Linked DNA regions of Macaca mulatta. The protein of the gene in region 1 purifies or fractionates together with the protein of each later gene. This does not show direct contact. Links are inferred from orthologs where the notes say so. Each region holds a gene or a part of one and is shown in the gene's direction. Other genes may lie near its edges.

Region 1 (3,650 bases):
TTTAAGGAATTGTTTTAATTTTGTGAACCAGATGATGTGTGTTACATTTCAAATGCATTCAGTATTTTTTACAGTATAATACGAAAATTTCTTGTAGACAAGAAATTCTTGTCATGAATTTCGAGCAGTTTTTTTTGTATGCTTTTAAGGTTTCAGAGAGTATGCAGTATCCTTTCAAACCTTGCATGAGAGTAGAAGTGGTTGACAAGAGGCATTTGTGTCGAACACGAGTAGCAGTGGTGGAAAGTGTAATTGGAGGAAGATTAAGACTAGTGTATGAAGAAAGCGAAGATAGAACAGATGACTTCTGGTGCCATATGCACAGCCCATTAATACATCATATCGGTTGGTCTCGAAGCATAGGTCATCGATTCAAAAGATCTGGTAAGCACCTGTCACAAGAACTCCTGTCAAAAGCATCATTGAGGCTGAATTATACTAGTTGGTTATTTTTCTCTGCAGAATTGCACAGATCAAAAATAGCATTCTAGTTTTTTGGGCTGCTTATTCTACCTTAATTAGTGAAGGTTCACACCATGTTAGTGTCCTAATAAATTTTTTTATATTCTTTCCACTTGTTCTCCAAAAGAATGAACTTTTGGTCACAACTACAGTTATTTCTTTCTTTTATTATTCAGCCTATTATTCAGCCCATTTGAAAGATCTAAAGATCCCTTTCCCTTTCCATTCAATTTTAATCAAAATAGCAAGATGAAATGTGGTTAGACTTAATACTAAGCACATGAAAACATGCTTCTAAAGTTGTAATTTTCTAACTAGGGAATTACATTAAAATTATGAGCATTAAAATTGGCTGAATATATTTAAAAGCATATATGCACATGTACCCTGAAGAGAGAAAAGACTATTAAAGAATATTCACCCCAAATGTAGAAGGCATGTCTTTTTGCCATGTTTTATAGTATGACATACCTTGTGAGTTTGAAGCCTTCAAAGAACGTGGTTTTTGGTCTTCTCACAAATGCTGACAGATTAGTGTGTAACTTTTCCTTGTAGATATTACAAAGAAACAGGATGGACATTTTGATACACCACCACATTTATTTGCTAAGGTAAGAAGTTTTTATAAGAACCCTCATTTGTAAATTAGGTTTGAAAGAGGGTTGTGGGTTTTTTCCTAAAATTACGGAAATCACAGTTACATGTGTTCACTTAAAAGAATTAAGACCTTGTAAATTCATAGGTGTCACAACTCTTTATTATAATTATTCTTAAATTCTATTTGTCTGAATTCTCTCTAAACTTTGATGGAAGTTTGAGTTATAATACTAGGTAGGTAGGAGAAGGCACCTGGTAAATCTTTTCACATTGGTAATATTTTAATTATTAAAATAACAACATTTGTAACAGTAGATGTGCTTTCATATAATTCTTTAGGTAAAAGAAGTAGACCAGAGTGGGGAATGGTTCAAGGAAGGAATGAAATTGGAAGCTATAGACCCATTAAATCTTTCTACAATATGTGTCGCAACCATTAGAAAGGTAAGATAATAGGTTTTAAAATATAGAAATGCAATTATAGGATTTGGGTGTAAGCTAATAGAAGGAGTCCCCAAGCATATTCATTTTGACATAAAATGTGTATGTGTGTGTATCTTCACTGGAGAGAAGGTTGCTAGGAATTTCAAAATAAGTTTGAATTCCTGATCTTTCTTATATAGTTTATTGTCAAGATTGTCATTTTGAGTCTGCTACATTTACTTGTGGAAGTATATCCTAATTTAGAGGGAAAATATTTATTTAAGTTACTTCTAGTCAAGGCTAGTCCAATTCAGAATTGTAACAAGGCCAAGTTTATCTTCAGTTTCCTGTGTTTCCTTTTTAGGCCCTTTTCTTCCTTTTGGTGGTAGTTTTTGCTTCTTTTCTCTTTTCCCCCTCATCTGAAACTGCTCGTACAAAAAGACCTAGAAGAGAGATTCTTGGGTTTTGTTTGTTTGTTCATTTTTTTGAGACACAATCTCTCTCTGTCACCTAGGCGGGAGTGCAGTAGTGTGATCACAGGCTCAAGTGACCTTCCCACCTCAGCCTTCAGAGTGGCTGGGATCACTGGTGTGTCCTTTCATGCCTGGCTAATTTTCTTATTTTTATTTTTGTAGGTACAGGGTCTCCCTAGGTTGCCCAGGCTGGTCTCAGACTCCTGGGCTCAGGCAATCCTCCTAAAGTTCTAGGATTATAGACATGAGCCACAGCGCCCAGCTTTTTTTTTTTTTTCTTTTTAAGACATGGTCTCACTCTGTCACCCAGGCTGGAGTGCAGTGGCATGATCTCAGCACACTGCAACCTCTGCCTCCCAGGCTCAAGTGATCCTCCTGCCTCAGCCCCCTGAGTAGCTGGGACTACAGGTGCTGGCTAATTTTTATATATTTTGTAGAGATGGGATTTCACCATATTGCCCAGGCTGGTCTCGAATTCCTGGACTCAAGTGACCCACCTGCCTCGGCCTCCCACAGTGCTGGGATTACAGGCATGAGCCACCACGCCTGGCCTTTCCTTTTTTTTTTTTTTTCCCTGAGATGGTGTCTCGCCCTGTCACCCAGGCTGTAGTGCAGTGGCGTGATCATAGCTCACCACAGCCTTGAGCTCAAGCAGTTCTCCCACTTCAGCTTCCTGAGCAGCTGGCACTACAGGCACAAGCCACCACACCCAGCCAGTTTTTTGTTGTTGTTGTTTTCTTTAGCAATAGGGTCTCACTGTATTGCCCAGGATAGTCTCAAACTCCGGAGCTCAAGCAGTTCTCCTGCCTCAGCTGAGTAGCTGGAATTACAGGCAGGGGCCACCTGCCTGGCTAACATTGGCGGTTTTTTAAGGCCCCAGGTGAATATCATGTACAGCCATGGTCTAGAACCACCTAAGGAAAATCTGCTTACATAAAGGTGTAACTTAAGTCATAATTTGCATTTCAACGGTTTAAAACCTTGAGCTAAAAGAAAAACAATTATGATGGCCTGGGCATGGTAGCTCACACCTGTAATCCCAGCACTTTGGGAGGCTGAGGCGAGCAGATCACAAGGTCAGGATATCAAGACCATCCTGTCTAATACGGTGAAACCCCATCTCTACTAAAAATACAAAAAATTAGCCAAGCGTGGTGGCGTGCGCCTGTAGTCCCAGCTACTTGGGAGGCTGAGGCAGGAGAATCACTTGAACCCAGGAGGTGGGGGTTGCAGTGAGCCGAGATGGCGCCACTGCACTCCAGCCTGGGCGACAGAGCGAGACTCCATCTCAGAAAAGGAAAAAGAAAAACAATTATGATGACTGCCATGTCACATGGTCAAACAGCTGGACAAGACTGGCTCCAAACCCTGTTCCTCCTCTTTTCCTGACTAGTGATCAGAATGACCCAGTAAGATTTAAAACAGGCCGAGGCAGGCAGATCACAAGGTCAGGAGTTCGAGACCAGCCTGGCCAATATGGTGAGACCCCATCTCTACTAAAAACACAAAAATTAGCTGGGCATGGTGGCAGGCGCCTGTAGTTCCAACTGCTCGGGAGGCTGAGGCAGAAGAATTGCTTGAACCCAGGAAGGGGAGGTTGCAGTGAGCTGAGATTGCACCACTGCATTCCATCCTAGGCAACAGAGCAAGACTGTCTCAAAAAAAAAAAAAAAAAATTTAAAACACTGATTCCTG
Region 2 (3,940 bases), on another chromosome or scaffold:
TTTCAAAACGTTCATCACACTGAAACTATTCAGTTATGTTAAAAAGTATAATGCACTAAAACACTACAAATGAGATTGAGACACTACTGTCCCCAAGCAGCTGGAGATATACGTAGGTGTTAATAATCTACTAGTTGGAAGGATAGTACTGTGTGTACAGTATCATTATTTTAACCTCATCATTTGCAGTTGATTGCATTGCACCGACCCTCTGTAACTGCCTGTGAATCATGTCAGAGTTACTCCGTCGACATTTGCCGAACATTTGTCATGTGGCAAAATATTTATTGTAGAAAAGTTGACACATAATAGCTCTGAGGTTTCACTAAATGAGCTTTACACATCAGGCTACAGGTACAACTCATTGATGTGTAGTCTCCAAAAAATACGGTTTATGATTTAAGAATACTGCCTCGCCAGAAGCTCCTTAAGTGTAAACAAAAAGGGTTTCGTGACCAGTGAGGTGACTTGGCTTCACCGTTTGCTGTTACAGAACTATTCCGTGGGGGATTTCATAAGTAGTGAGGGAGAGGTGGAAGACCCGGCTGAAAATAAAGTGGGAGCAACCCGTCCTGATCTGTTGTTGGTGACTGGGGATTCGCCTAGAGGGAAGAAACACGGAATCTCTACTAAGGCTGAGGAAGGCGTCAGGGCAAACCTCAGCCTCCCCTCACTGGACGCGTTCGCGCCACCTGTCAGACTGGAAGAGCCGCCAGGGATTGAGAGGGTCGGGAGAGGGTGCCCGGGGCCCCGGAAGGCGGCTGCAGGTCGCAGGTCTCCGCCCGAGAGGCGCTGGGGGTGGGGTTGGGAGCGGTGGGGGCTGCGTGCTAGATACGGACGAGACTTCACGTGGTCTCCAAAGCCCTGCTAGGGGACCCGGGGCGCTACCGCGCGCCCCTCCCCTGAGGTCTCAGCTCCTCCTCCCCGGCACGTGACCGCAGCTGGCTGGTAACTGCGCTCCCGCAGAGTAGCTTGCTCTGTTTCTTCCCTCCCGCCGCGGTGCCCTTCTTCTCCCCCGTTCCCATCCCTCCGCCCTCCCCCGCTTCGCTCCTCACGTCCCAATCGCGGCTTGAGCTTAGAAGCGCCCGCCCCTCCACCCTTTTCTTTGCTTGCTCATTGGCTGAAGTCTCAAGGACGCGTCCCGAGGGCGGGTGGCAGCCATTGGTGGGATGAGCAATCCGAGTTCCCGGATGAGGGAACATTCTGCAGTATAAAGGGAGCAGGGAAGGCGGGAGACAGCGCAGTTTGAATCGCGGTGCGACGAAGGAGTAGGTGGTGGGATCTCACCGTGGGTCCGATTAGCCTTTTCTCTGCCTTGCTTGCTTGAGCTTCAGCAGAATTCGAAATGGTAAACTTCGCAGAGACGCTCGATGACTTCGCGGGTTTTTGCCGGCGGGAGAAAAACCCGTTACACGGGGGATGGGGGTGAAGTGGCGACGGTTGGGAACGCGCGGAGACAGGATTAAGAAGAGCGGGGGGAGGTGTTTTGTCGGCTGCTAGCGGAGCAGCCTCGGATCTCGCGGCGGGCGGCGACGGTTGGGTGGCGCGCGCAGCGCCGCTGGGGGCCGGCGGGCGGGCGGAGGCGCGCGGCCGCGGCGAGCGCGCGGCGGGGGGCGGACGGGCGGGGTCGCCCCTGCGGCGCGCCGCGGGCCAGAGACCCCGGCGGGGTGCGGGGACGCGCTCGCGGCGGGACGCGCCGCGGTGGGGGATGGGCGCGCCGCCTTGGTAATTCTATATTCTCCGTTCCTCCTCCGCTCGCGGGCGTGTGCGCGCCGCAGGCTGGCGGTAAGGCTGGAAAGGACTCCGGAAAGGCCAAGACAAAGGCGGTTTCCCGCTCGCAGAGAGCCGGCTTGCAGGTCAGTAGTTGTTCGTGCGGTCTGGGAGTCGTGATGTTTTTCTTTGCATCTCCTTTTTTGTTATTCACCGCTCTCCATGGGCGTTTCGTCTATGCGTGGGTGATGCGGTGTCGCGACTTGGGCTGCCCATACGATAAATATGGGGGGGAGGAATCACGTGTTTCGATGTCGGGACGCGTTGCTGCGCCCGTGCCACTTGCTTTGGCGCGCATATAATTTCCCCATCTCTAGTTCTCCTATTTTTGTGCATTTATGTTTGTGTATGCTTAAAATTTAAGTTCCCAGTGGGCCGTATTCATCGACACCTGAAATCTAGGACGACCAGTCATGGACGTGTGGGCGCGACTGCCGCTGTGTACAGCGCAGCCATCCTGGAGTACCTCACCGCAGAGGTAAATGGGTGAACGCCTATAATCCGGAGAAGGTTTGGGGGGCGGGGAGACGGCAAGAGGGAAGGAGGAAAGTGATGCAAGAAAACTCACAGGCCCTGAACGCGGCGAGAGGCCTAAGAGAACGCTAGAGGGAGCTGCTGTTCAACAAGGATCCTACTGAGCTTGAGTTCTCTGCTCTTGGAATTAAAATTGCGTGCCCCCTGTATATCTTGCCAGTCAGATAGTGGGGAACGACTCCAGTTGGTAGATAAGCGTTTGTGAGGGTTTTATTCTGTTCTCTGAATCTTGGCCAAAGGAAAGTTGGAAGGGAACTGATTAGATTCTGCCTTCTAGGTACTTGAACTGGCAGGAAATGCATCAAAAGACTTAAAGGTAAAGCGTATTACCCCTCGTCACTTGCAACTTGCTATTCGTGGAGATGAAGAATTGGATTCGCTCATCAAGGCTACAATTGCTGGTGGTGGTATGTTAACTTCTAAAATTTTTAAAAATTTCTTCAGAGGAAGGAATTCTTTGCTGCTTTAATTTCATTAGTTTTTCTAGAAGAGAAAATTTAAGTATATTTTCATTGATGCAAGTATGGTTTTATCATGAAATTTGATTCATATGTATAACTGAATTTTTACTTCATACTTGAGCTGCACGTTTTTAAAGATACTTGAACAGTATACTTTTTTTGGTTTCAAATACTGTGATTTTAAAAAAAAAATCTTAAGTAGAATTAATTCCTGTCACTCTCCTAGGTGTCATTCCACACATCCACAAATCTCTGATTGGGAAGAAAGGACAACAGAAGACTGTCTAAAGGATGCCTGGATTCCTTGTTATCTCAGGACTCTAAATACTCTAACAGCTGTCCAGTGTTGGTGATTCCAGTGGACTGTATCTCTGTGAAAAACACAATTTTGCCTTTTTGTAATTCTATTTGAGCAAGTTGGAAGTTTAATTAGCTTTCCAACCAACCAAATTTCTGCATTCGAGTCTTAACCATATTTAAGTGTTACTGTGGCTTCAAAGAAGCTATTGATTCTGAAGTAGTGGGTTTTGATTGAGTTGACTGTTTTTAAAAAACTGTTTGGATTTTAATTGTGATGCAGAAGTTATAGTAACAAACATTTGGTTTTGTACAGACATTATTTCCACTCTGGTGGATAAGCTCAATAAAGGTCATATCCCAAACTAGTTGTGTATTAAATTGGCTTGATTGTAATATGAATTTGTTTTGAATATCTAGCAGCAATAACTAAGCACATTTCTTTGTGACTGACCTGTCAAATCTAGATCAACAAAGTGAGATAGACCAAGTATATATTTTTAATGTTATATAATAAGCTACTAAAGTTTTAATTTAAAAAGTTGTCAGGAGCTGGAGTGGGAGCATTTCAGTTTGTGCATTGACTTTGCTTGCTGTGTGACAGCACTGCACTAGTATGCTGTTAGTGTGGTGGACTTGGGGAGGGAGAGAATAGGTAGGAATGTCCTGTATATCCACATAATGAACTCCGAATTTAAACTCTGAAGCTAATAGTGCTACGTGCTAGGCCCTGCTTTGAAGTCTGAAATTGAAATTGTTAAGTGCTCAGTAACATCATTGGGGATATACTATCTCCATTTTATTGAAGAGAAGCAGGCTTTCTTATTTGAAAGTACCGAGTTCTGGTGGTAGTTGGAATTAACAGCTTGGCTCACAGC
Region 3 (3,650 bases), on another chromosome or scaffold:
AAATCTCACTTGCCTCTATAGCCAAAAAAGTTATCAATGCAAATGTCATTTTGTAAGTTACTTTTAAAAATCCATTTTGTGTTAATCAGTGCTTTTCCTAGGTATGTGATTGTTAAGCATTGCAGTATGAAAATCTTAACCCATAATTACTGACAGAATCAGCCTTTATTAGATATTGATTCTCATTTTAGACTTCCTCTATGAATAAATACTCAGCCTTCCTAAATACTAACTTTAGGAATTTGGTTGCATCCATTGTTGTCCTACTCCATTACACATAGTTAACTATATTTACTTTGTCATGTATTCCACTTGAAAATGTGGGAAGTTTCTGAAAGTTGGGGCTTTGTTTTTGATGTAATAGTTATGCCCATTATATGAAAAATTTTATATCTCACTAAATATAATTTGCCTTTCAAACAATATTTTTATTGTGTGTACTGTTTTTGACCCTAAAGTAGTTAACATCTGGACTAGATGTGGAAAAGTATAAGTTTTGTAGTTTGTACCTTGGTGCTTGGAACAGTCTTTTCCAACTTTTAAAGTGGCAGATCCCTTTTTATTAAAAGGAATGCCAGTATGTTAAAACAGTAACAGAGCTGCTCTGTTGAGGGGAGGTAGGGGCACTACCCCTTCAGTGAGTGTCTTTGCCAGATGGCCTCTCAGGAACCTCCACAGAAGCCTGCGGGACTTCAGAACAGTTACTGTTCGGTTGCTGCAGTAATTATACATTCTAAAAAGTGAGGGGTTTTTTTTCCTAGTTAAGCTTATTTTTCTCAAAAGATTTACATCCATAGAACACACATTTTAAAAAATTGGATCTAAGTGTAGAAATGACAATAAACTCATGATCCAGTTGAAGAAACTTAAAAATAGTGATTAATTTTTATCAGTGCAGCAGATTTAAATAAAAATTGAATTTAAATACCTTTTAAATACTGGATTACATAATAGAGCAATCCAAAAAATTCCTCACATAGTTTAAAGTAGTAATAATAATGTAAAAAGCAAATTTAAATACCATAATTATTTTTCATCATAAGTTGCAGAAAGTAAAACATGTTTCAATTTATGAACACAGAATAATTTTTGCATATTAAAAATAATAAAATCACCTCCTGGGTAAAAATGTATGTTTTTCAAAGAGCAGTATAGTTTTTCATGATTTCTAAAATGATTTTTATTTCTTCCTTTTGGGGGAAAAATCGTCATGTAAACAGCACCCTCATCATTTGTCTTTGAAAGAAGAGGCTTCTGATGTGGTTCGTCAAAAGAAGAAGTACCCAAAGAAGCCTAAAGCAGAGGCTTTGATAACATCTCAGCAACCCACTCCAGAGACATTGCCTGTGATCAATAAGAGTGACATTAAGCAATATGACTTTCACAGCTCAGATGAAGATGAATTTCCACAGGTGCTTGTTTTAAAACTATTTTAAAGATATTTCCTGCTAGTATTTTGTATTGTTATATTTTTAAAGCAATTGCTATCTTAGAGTTTTTATTCTTGCTTTGTTCCCCTAATGTATGTAGCATAAACATTTCCACATTATTTATGTAGCCACTGAAATGGTATTTACTCTGTATTATCTTTCATCAGTTGTATAGAATTTACTCTCTTGTGGAGCACATGGTTTTCAGTTTTTCCATTTATAAAAATGAACTTAGATCTTTTCCCTCTGTATTTAAAATAGATTCTTAGTAATTGAATTACTAGTTACTAACCAAAAATTATCAATATTTTAAGACAGTTAATATATAATTGTAAATATTGAAAATATCAACAATACTTTCCTTTTTACCACACTCCACCAGCATTGTGTTTTATAACTTTTAATGCAAATTTTGCTAATTTGTTAGGTAATGGCTGTTTGATTTTAAAAAAGACTTAAAGGGACTGATTCAGATTTTAACTCTTTGATAAATATTGCAACAGCTTTATAGAAAAATGTGCACAATTAAAAAATATTTATTTTTATAAGTGCTGTTTTTAAAATAAGACTTTTACTTTATATATTAAAAGATCCGGCCGGGCGCGGTGGCTCACGCCTGTAATCCTAGCACTTTGGTAGGCCAAGGCGGGCAGATCACAAGGTCAGGAGATCGAGACCATCCTGGCTATCACAGTGAAACCCCGTCTCTACTAAAAATACAAAAAATTAGCCAGGCATGGTGGCGGGTGCCTGTAGTCCCAGCTACTCAGGAGGCTGAGGTAGGAGAATGGCGTGCGCCCGGGAGGCAGAGCTTGCAGTGAGCTGAGATCGTGCTACTGTACTCCAATCTGGGCGACAGAGCAAGACTCTGTCTCAAAAAAACAAACAAACAAAAAGAAAGATCCATTTTTTCAAAAAATATTGTGTATCACCTGCTCTAGCAATACCATCTTTTTAAAAATAGCATAGGAAACTTAACAGAAAATACTGTAACAAAGACCTTGAACCTACTGCCAGCTTTATCATATTTTAACTTTTTGACTTGTTTGCTTTAAGGAAACTTTTTTTAAAAAACCAACATTATAGATATGTTTGAAAGCAGGACTGTTTATAAAACTCTTCATTGCTATAACCATTTAAAATCTGGAGTTTGCATAAAATGTGTCCCTTTTGGCTGGATTATACTAGTTTTACTCTTTTTTTTCACTGATTAGTTTTTCTACCCAGATAATATTCTGATAGTCATGAATAGTATCAAATGTGCAAAGATATGCTTAATTTTATTCCTTGAGGAGTGCTTAATGAACCCATATATTACTTTTGTCAGAGGATCATCTAGTTTGACTCAGGCAGAGCTTTGAACAGCCATGGGACATTCATCAGATGACCAGTTTGAAGGAATGAGGGATATAGTGCCTTACAAAAGAGTAATTTTCAAGATAGAAAGTATAGGGAAGGGTTCTAGGCACAACATACTAGAGGGAACTCCTAGCAGTTTAGCATTGCTGGAGCACATAACATAGAAGAGGAAGAGGGGATGAAAGGCTTGATGCCTGCAGTAATACCCAGATGTCAGATAGCCTCTATCTACATTATACATAATGGGAAATTATTTAAAATGTTAAGTAAGAAAATGACATAGTTAGATAACTGTATGTAAAATAGGCTTTTATTGGTGGTACTAATGAGAGCCTAGAAAGTTTTGCTATATATTCCCAGCCCTTTAAGAATGATGCTGCAGCCGGGCGCGGTGGCTCACGCCTGTAATCCCAGCACTTTGGGAGGCCGAGATGGGCGGATCACGAGGTCAGGAGATCGAGACCATCCTGACTAACACGGTGAAACCCCGTCTCTACTAAAAATACAAAAATTAGCCGGGCGCGGTGGCGGGCGCCTGTAGTCCCAGCCACACGGGAGGCTGAGGCAGGAGAATGGCGTGAACCCGGGAGGCGGAGCTTGCAGTGAGTGGAGATCGCGCCACTGCACTCCAGCCTGGGAGACAGAGGGAGACTCCATCTCAAAAAAATAAATAAATAAATAAATAAAAAAGAATGATGCTGCAGACTGGGCATTGTGGCTCACGCCTGTAATCCCAGCACTTTGGGAAGCCAAAGCAGGTGGATTGCTTGAGCCCAGGACTTGGAGACCAGCCTGGGCAACATGGTGAAACCCCATCTTTACCAAAAAAACAGAAACAAAAGTACAAAAATTAGCCAGGTG

The links.
Region 2: the proteins of MBTD1 (region 1) and H2AZ1 purify together in Homo sapiens (affinity purification with mass spectrometry; 3 studies listed by BioGRID and IntAct, with this or other methods). This does not show direct contact. The link is inferred for Macaca mulatta from reciprocal best matches to the Homo sapiens genes MBTD1 and H2AZ1.
Region 3: the proteins of MBTD1 (region 1) and EPC2 purify together in Homo sapiens (affinity purification with mass spectrometry; 3 studies listed by BioGRID and IntAct, with this or other methods). This does not show direct contact. The link is inferred for Macaca mulatta from reciprocal best matches to the Homo sapiens genes MBTD1 and EPC2.

The regions. Positions count from the first base shown.
Region 1 is NC_133421.1:58,802,455-58,806,104, forward strand, and holds part of MBTD1 (MBT domain-containing protein 1), read left to right. Parts: intron 1-149; coding exon 150-384; intron 385-1,017; coding exon 1,018-1,073; intron 1,074-1,398; coding exon 1,399-1,503; intron 1,504-2,500; exon of another isoform or gene 2,501-2,743; intron 2,744-3,153; exon of another isoform or gene 3,154-3,466; intron 3,467-3,650. UniProt on the Homo sapiens protein: Chromatin reader component of the NuA4 histone acetyltransferase complex, a multiprotein complex involved in transcriptional activation of select genes principally by acetylation of nucleosomal histones H4 and H2A.
Region 2 is NC_133410.1:109,266,988-109,270,927, reverse strand, and holds H2AZ1 (H2A histone family, member Z), read left to right. Parts: upstream 1-1,289; 5' UTR 1,290-1,345; coding exon 1,346-1,348; intron 1,349-1,778; coding exon 1,779-1,856; intron 1,857-2,134; coding exon 2,135-2,248; intron 2,249-2,581; coding exon 2,582-2,711; intron 2,712-2,991; coding exon 2,992-3,053; 3' UTR 3,054-3,430; downstream 3,431-3,940. UniProt on the Homo sapiens protein: Variant histone H2A which replaces conventional H2A in a subset of nucleosomes. Nucleosomes wrap and compact DNA into chromatin, limiting DNA accessibility to the cellular machineries which require DNA as a template.
Region 3 is NC_133417.1:53,760,028-53,763,677, forward strand, and holds part of EPC2 (enhancer of polycomb homolog 2), read left to right. Parts: intron 1-1,220; coding exon 1,221-1,412; intron 1,413-3,650. UniProt on the Homo sapiens protein: May play a role in transcription or DNA repair.